2 linked regions of the Cricetulus griseus genome follow. The protein of the gene in region 2 purifies or fractionates together with the protein of the main gene of each other region. This does not show direct contact. Links are inferred from orthologs where the notes say so. Each region holds a gene or a part of one and is shown on either strand. Other genes may lie near its edges.

Region 1 (3,656 bases), on a different chromosome or scaffold from region 2:
GGCCTTTATCTAACCACTAGAAATCCTCCTATAGTCTAGATTGAGCTCCTTTCTGGATATTTGGACTGCCTATGAGATCTAACACCTTTTACTTGATTATTTACCTATGAAATCGAATCTTTCTCTCTTCTTCAGGTTGGACACTTAATAATGATTCTGGAGGTGTTTTGCTGAGTTTATTTATTTATTGATTGATTAATTATTTACTTTTTAGAATGTATTTCAGTCAGATATGTGTAGAGCATATGGCTGACAATTTATATCCAGAAAATACATCTAAATGAAACTTCTCTGAAAAAATTTACAAAACCCTGTATTTGGTTATTTTGGAATGTTACATTTTTGTGATAAGGATATTTTGTTTTAAAAAATGTAATTCTGCTCATGAGTATAATAGAAACCCAGTCTTCCAGTTGTTGAATCCTAAGAGGACAATGGCCACCAATTCTTGGTGTTTCTCTCAAGCAGGTTGCTGCTGTTACTTTTAACAGGAAAGTTGCTTTTAAATGTGCAAATTAGTCAAATAATTCACAACCCTCCTTTCTTGCAAAACTACAACTAATACCTTTTGCTTTCTCTTTTTAAATTGCTTGTGTTTCAATAAGAATGAAAGGCATTAACAAAATAGGAGTTTTTGTCTCATGTATAAGTTGTCTATTCATTAAGTTCATAGCCATTCAAGGAGGGCCCAGAATGGTCTAAATCACTAATATTTCAATACCACATTATCTCTAAATGAGGCAACAATAAATAACTTTACAGAGTCATTGCATTGTTTGTTTACATTAGCTATTCACCTTTTTTTTTTCACAAGTTAGATTTGTATACCAAAACCAAAATTTATCTTTGAATCTATAATGGATACAGTCACATCACTGAATCCATTTTTATTGTTTCTTTTGAAATCTTTGTACTTAAAAAGGAAGGAATCTTAAGAATATCCTTTTCTTAGTCAGGCATGATAGTAAATGCAATTGCAGCATTCAGGAGACTGAGGCAGGAGCATCATCAAGAATTGATGACCAGCTTGGGATATGTAGTGAGACCATCTTAAAGTAAGAAACAACCCACCTGTCTCCTAGGTGTAAGTAACTTCCACTCTTGTCAGCCTAAGACTGACTAGTCCTTAACCTTCCTGGCAAATTCTATACTTGCTGACCAGAACTGTGCACACAGATGATGTGCATATCTATTTCATACCGATTTGTATCAGCAAACTAATTTTTGAAAGTGCACCAGGATGCTTAGGAAAGTAGACTGAACTAAAATCAACAGTACATTTCAAAGGGAAAAGACACATAGTTGATTCTAAGAAACATGGTATATTAAAAAGTTTCAGATGCCGTTTACCCTTCCTTTCTGTTTGATGATCTTGTCCCATTGGATGTGAAATTGGGTCGAGGAACTCAGTCCAGGAGACGTTCTCTTGACTCTGGGTTGTCATTCTTTGACTTGGATGGTTGTGGGTTGATGCTGTTGTCACCATGCAGTTCAAACAATCATCAAAATGTTAATTGACATTTGGGCAGGGATATATAGACTGGCTTTTTAAAAAAAGACTTTATTCTCTAGAGAAGATAATGAAAATCACTTTCTAGTAGTGAGGACAAAGGAGCTGCATCAGTTTAGAATGTTTTCCCACGTTTGGTTTCATTTGTGTTCAATTTCTTGGTCACCAGCATGTAAGTTGGAGGATGCATAGCATTAACAAGTGCTGTAATGGATAGAAGATGAGTTACAGGCATCAAGGGAGGATGAAGTAATTGTCAACACAAGCTGCCACAGTCCCCTAAAGAAAGCCTTGTAAGAGCTCAAGTGCATGATGTCACTCTGAGACAATCACCTCCCACAGTGAAATGCATGAGCTGGTAGTGATAAACAGAAGACATCAGGTAAAGGCTTCCCAAGGGATGAGCATGAAAGTGCTACTTCTCACAAAAGCACAGAGGGGGTCCATCAGAAACATTGCCTTCTAACAATGAGAAATGGCATGTAGGTACTCGTGGATTATGCCTTTGTTTCATTCTGTGCCATTGGAGAAGTACAGGAAGAAAGATTACAGTAGCATTCCCCAGAAACAAACACACCAAGGAGCCAGTCACCAAACTACTAGTGATTCATTTACAAGTTGCCCTGCACTGCAAAGAGGTTATGTATCAGATTCCACATTGCAGATGGAAACATGGAGATATTTCCCACTGATACCAAGTGATAATGTAGAATTCACACACTTTGCAGGGCAGGGTGAATCACAACGCTTAATCACACAGACAAAGGAATCATGCAGAGGGGCTTGCAGAGACATGTTATCATCTGGCATCCTTCACAGATGATAAGACTTAAATCTAATTCCCACAACCCCACAGTTCCAGAATGGAGAAGATGACTTTATTTGTAAATGTGATTAAGCAGTTGTACATTCGAGGAGATATTCAAAACAGGTAAGAACAAAAGGTCAGATGACATCACCCAGGGATCTTTCTTTTTCTTCTAATGCTTGAATCCACCCACAACACTAGATTTCTAATAAAATTCTTTCTTATAAGCTTAGTGCTTTACAAAAATATAAGGAAAAAACAGACTTGTATTATATAGTAAGTGAGTTTTAGGAAGCAGAAACGGGGTTTTCATTAGAGAGGGCCTTTGTCATTGTCTCACTAGGTGATGCCTCAAACTAGATATGAAAACCACACACGTAGAGACTAAATCTATTTTTTTCATGTGCGTCTATCTATGGCTGTCCAGGTAGCTTGTTAAGAACATTAACACTCTGGATCTATGTTTACTTCAATGTGATGTATTAAGGAACCAAACACCTTGGACAATTCCTTCAGTGTCTTTTTTTGTGTCGACTTTCCAATGCCCAGTATTGAACTCAGAAAGTAGTTTCCACCCACATTGTGAAACCCTCCATTACCAGTTGCCCCTGCTGTCACATGGGAGTCTTCAGTTGGTGTGGGGGAGTACTTCCCCTGCCATCCATTCTCAAACCACTGCTCTTGCTGAGTAGCAGCTTCTTCTGTTGTACTACTAGGAGCTGCCTGGGCTGTGAGGAGAATGCTGATGGTGAGCCATATTGTCTAGGTTCTTAACAAACCCTCTGATATGTCTGTCTACATTAAGGGTAGAGATAGATAGGTAGGTAGGTAAGTAGGTACATACATACACACACACACACATATACACACACACACACATATATATATATATATATATATATACTATATACATACACATATAGATATATAGATGATAGATAAATGCTACATACATACATAGATACATGGATGATAGATAAATACATACATACATGCATACATACATTCATAATAGATGATAGATAGATAGATAGATAGGTAGATAATGACAATAATAGTTGGTGATAAGCTACTTATATTCTGAAAGGTAGATTCCAGAAATAAAAGTTTTAATTTTCCAATCCTTTAATTTTCCAGATGGGAAAAGAAATTTCATTTGTTGAAAGTCATGTACCCAGAGTAGCACAAAGTCAGGATGAGACCTTAGCCTGTATATTATGAAGTCTAAGTATTCTTGTTTTAATATTGTCTGTAGCCTCACATATTCTGCCAGAAAGAGCTTCTGTTGGAAGAATGATCTCTGTGTTCCAGTGATTTTTGCAGTGGGAAATGTGTTAC
Region 2 (3,656 bases):
AAGATAAACAGAAGTGTCAGTGAGCTCCCACTTGCTCAGGTCAGCTGTCTCTGTGGGTTTCCCCATCATGATCTTGACCCTTTGCTCATATAATCCCTTTTCCCTCTCATCAGCTGGACTCTAGGAGGTTGGCCCAGTGCTTAGCTGTGGATCTCTACATCTACTTCCATCAGTTTCTAGACGAAGGTGCTATGATGACAGTTAGTGTGGTCATCAGTTTGATCACAAGAGAAGGTCAGTTCAGGCACCCTCTCAACTATTGCTAGGAGTCTTAGCTGGGGTCCTCCTTGTGGATTCCTGGGAGTTTCTCTAGCAACAGAACTCTCCCTAACTCCATAATGGCTCCCTCTATGGGGATTTCTATTTCCTTGCTCTTTCTATCTCTCCTCAAACTCAACCATCTCATTCCCTCATGTTTTCACACCCCTCCCATTTTACTCAGAAGATCTTATCTATTTCCCCTTCCCAGGGGCATCCCTGCATGTCTCTCTTAGGGTCCTGGGGAATCTGTATAGGACTGAACTAGGCCTTCTGAATATGGATGACAGTTCTGTGACTTGGGCTGTCTGTGGAGCCACTGGTGGTAGGACCAGGATTTATCCCTAAAGTATGAACTGACTTTTGGAGCCCATTCCCTAGGGAGGGATACCTTGCACAGCCTCCATGCAGGAGGGAGGGGCTTGATCCTGTCTAAACTTGATATGCCATACTTTGTTGACTTCCCATGGGAGGCCTCACCCTTACTAAGGAGTGAGTGGGGGGTTGATTGAGGGGAAGGTTGGCATGGGCAGGAGGAGGGGAGGGAGGGGAACTGTGGTTGGTATGAAAAATGAAAAAAAAAAAACAAATGTAAAAGAAAAAAAGATACACAGAAGTAAGAAAAGGAAAAAGCCTGGTGGTAGACTGGGATAGTTTAAGTTAAGAAAAGTTGCCTAGAAACAAGCCAAGGTAAGGCTTGTATGATTTATGTAGAAACTGGGTGTTGGGCCCCCCAAAGAGAAAAGAGTAAAAAACAAACAACAATTGCTTATGGAATCTTGTATATGTTCCTCTTTTCATTTTATCTGTTTCTTCAATTTCCAAATGTCTATGCCAATTAATAAAAAAATAAACAACTTCCTAATTTATAGCCCATAAACAAATATTCCAGCTGAGAAAGGCTACTGGTTATCAAATCTTGAGAGAAAATTCTTATCATGACCAAAAATAGGCAGAGAAAAATGATAACAGTGAGGGTGACAGTCAATATCACTATAAACAATACAAACACAATATGCACACCCAACATATAAACATAGCCCAAGGACTACTGGTGAGTAATAATTTCACATATCACTGGCATAGGGTTATTTCTAGTTTAAAAAGCAATTCCTCAGAATTCGTCATCTGTGAGACTGTCTTTTGATCCACCATCCATTCAATATTTTACCCAGGAAGGAGTCTTTGTCTACTTTAAAAGCTCAGGCCCCACACTTGTGAACCCTGTATACAGTTAGCACACACTGTAATAGAAGAGGCCACTTCAAATCTTCTGTTCTTGCCTCTAGTTTCCTACACAGATTTGAAACCATAAGCACAGAGAAGACAATTTGGGAAATACTATGTCCCCCCCCCAAAAATGCTAAAGAAAATTTGCCTCTAATCACATTGTTACATTACATTCTTCTTTTCTGTTATAGCTACAATACTCACTGATGCCCACAGCTGTTACGAGCTTGATTGCAAGTTCAGGAATTTCACATTGAATAAAAAATGGTTCCAGAATGTATCGTCCAAATGCCAGGGATATCACAGCGGTAGCTCCAGGGCTAAGAAATAATGTATTAAGGTTAACTTCAGGTAACACTAAGTAACAGTTTCACTAAAACTTTTTATCTTTAGGTCTTACTACCTGACAGGTGGAACCTAACTAACAAGGAAGTCTTAGAACTTCATATTTCATTAAGTTGCCATACATTCCAAATGAAATATTGTCTATATAAGTAATGGCTATTTTTTAAAAAAAAATCTCTGTGAAAATTAGTACTACTAAGAGTTCATTGCCAAAATGTGTCTAAATATTTAATGTTGACTCTTAATTTGCTAGTAAAAAGAAATCTCTAAGCCACAAGAATATTCTTAATTTCTTAAGAATATTTATATAGAGAGAACCACTAAATAAGAAGACAAAAAATCCCAGCCTGAGGAGAAGAAAACCCAGACAATAAGTCATCCCACTTTAGTTCTTCAAAGGAAAAAAAGAGTGTTTCATTTCATCTTCAATATGAGTGCATATTGTTGCCACACACAAGGAAACCCACAGAATTGCTTAACATCTCATGAGTCTCTTACAGCTTCTCTTCCTCCTTGTGGTTACCTAACACCCAGGCCTCATCCCTGGATTACCAGAAACCAACCACCATCACCTGTCTCCAGCCTGGGTCTCCTACCTTCAGTCACCACCACAAACATTGTAACTTTCTTCTCTTCCTAAAGAACCCTTTCTCTTTTCTCCAAAGAGGATATTCTTGCCATTTTCTATCATTTGGTTTGTAAAATGAAGTCTGGTCGTGTGGTTTCGGTACCCTTAAACCATGCTTTGACACTCCGGTCCAAGCTTCTCCTAATTCTTTTGCCTTTCTCTCAGGATCAAGATCTCAATCACTTCTGCCCAGAGCTTTTTCAAATAGCTGCTTTTGCTTCTGCCATGAATGGCACATGTAGGGCAACATCAAATAGTTACTTTTTATACCTTGCATCTGGGTTCAGTCTTGGTCCAGAGAAGTGTCTTCAACCCTTTGCCTGAGTCTGTCCAAGTGTTTTCCTACACAGCACCACATTTGTCCCTTCCACACTGCTTATCACAGCAGTTTTTTTATTCTTCTTAAGGTGATTCCCAGATTGAAACTCTCTACTTCCACTTGACTTTGAAGTCTATGAGAACAAGACTGTGTCTATCACTAATCAGAATTTTATCCCAGTGCACTGGCTAGCACAGTATCTGTCATACAGTAGAAATTCAATAGTTATTGAACATATTATGAATGAGTGAACTTAACTTTGAAGCCCCCATCATGTTCTGTTGGGTGACTGTGTTTGAATTCATTTTGAAGGTTATTTCTGGCAATACAGACTTATTTTGAAAGTACACCTTTAACCTTAGAGACTGCATCTATTACTATTTAGATGTCATGAGTAGTACTAATAGAAAAGAAACATTTATGTACTTAGGGGATCATGTCCTTTTTCATGTCATATGTTATTTTGTGTGTTTGAAAGACTACTCCAACAGTGTGAGTCCAGTATGACAAAAAGGAATACAAATGTATTTACAAGTTTCTGGAATTTATTTAGGTAATTTGGCTACACACACACACTCACACACACACACACACACACACACACACACACACACACACACTAAAATAGTTCTTCCTAAATTAAGGCAACATCTGATTATCAGCTGTTTAGGAGCAGGAATTGTGGTTCATTCCAATTTAGATCTCTTTATCTTGCATTTGCCATTTGCAACAATTTGTGGAAAGAATAAGTTAATGAATGGGCACCATATCTGTCCACTGCAAATGGAATGATCACACTCATAGAAACACTGGTAATTAGATAAAGTTACACAACCAATGAATGGATGAAGATGGAGTGAAGTCGAAAGACATCAG

What was found. Proteins that work in one complex are often made in the same cells at the same time.
Region 1: the proteins of Slc7a11 (region 2) and Cd44 purify together in Homo sapiens (affinity purification with western blotting; 3 studies listed by BioGRID and IntAct, with this or other methods). This does not show direct contact. The link is inferred for Cricetulus griseus from reciprocal best matches to the Homo sapiens genes SLC7A11 and CD44.

Annotation. Positions count from the first base shown.
Region 1 is NC_048599.1:74,823,069-74,826,724, reverse strand, and holds part of Cd44 (CD44 antigen), read right to left. Parts: intron 3,047-3,656; coding exon 2,918-3,046; intron 1,474-2,917; coding exon 1,351-1,473; intron 1-1,350. UniProt on the Homo sapiens protein: Cell-surface receptor that plays a role in cell-cell interactions, cell adhesion and migration, helping them to sense and respond to changes in the tissue microenvironment.
Region 2 is NW_023276806.1:100,999,579-101,003,234, reverse strand, and holds part of Slc7a11 (cystine/glutamate transporter), read right to left. Parts: intron 1,809-3,656; coding exon 1,693-1,808; intron 1-1,692. UniProt on the Homo sapiens protein: Heterodimer with SLC3A2, that functions as an antiporter by mediating the exchange of extracellular anionic L-cystine and intracellular L-glutamate across the cellular plasma membrane.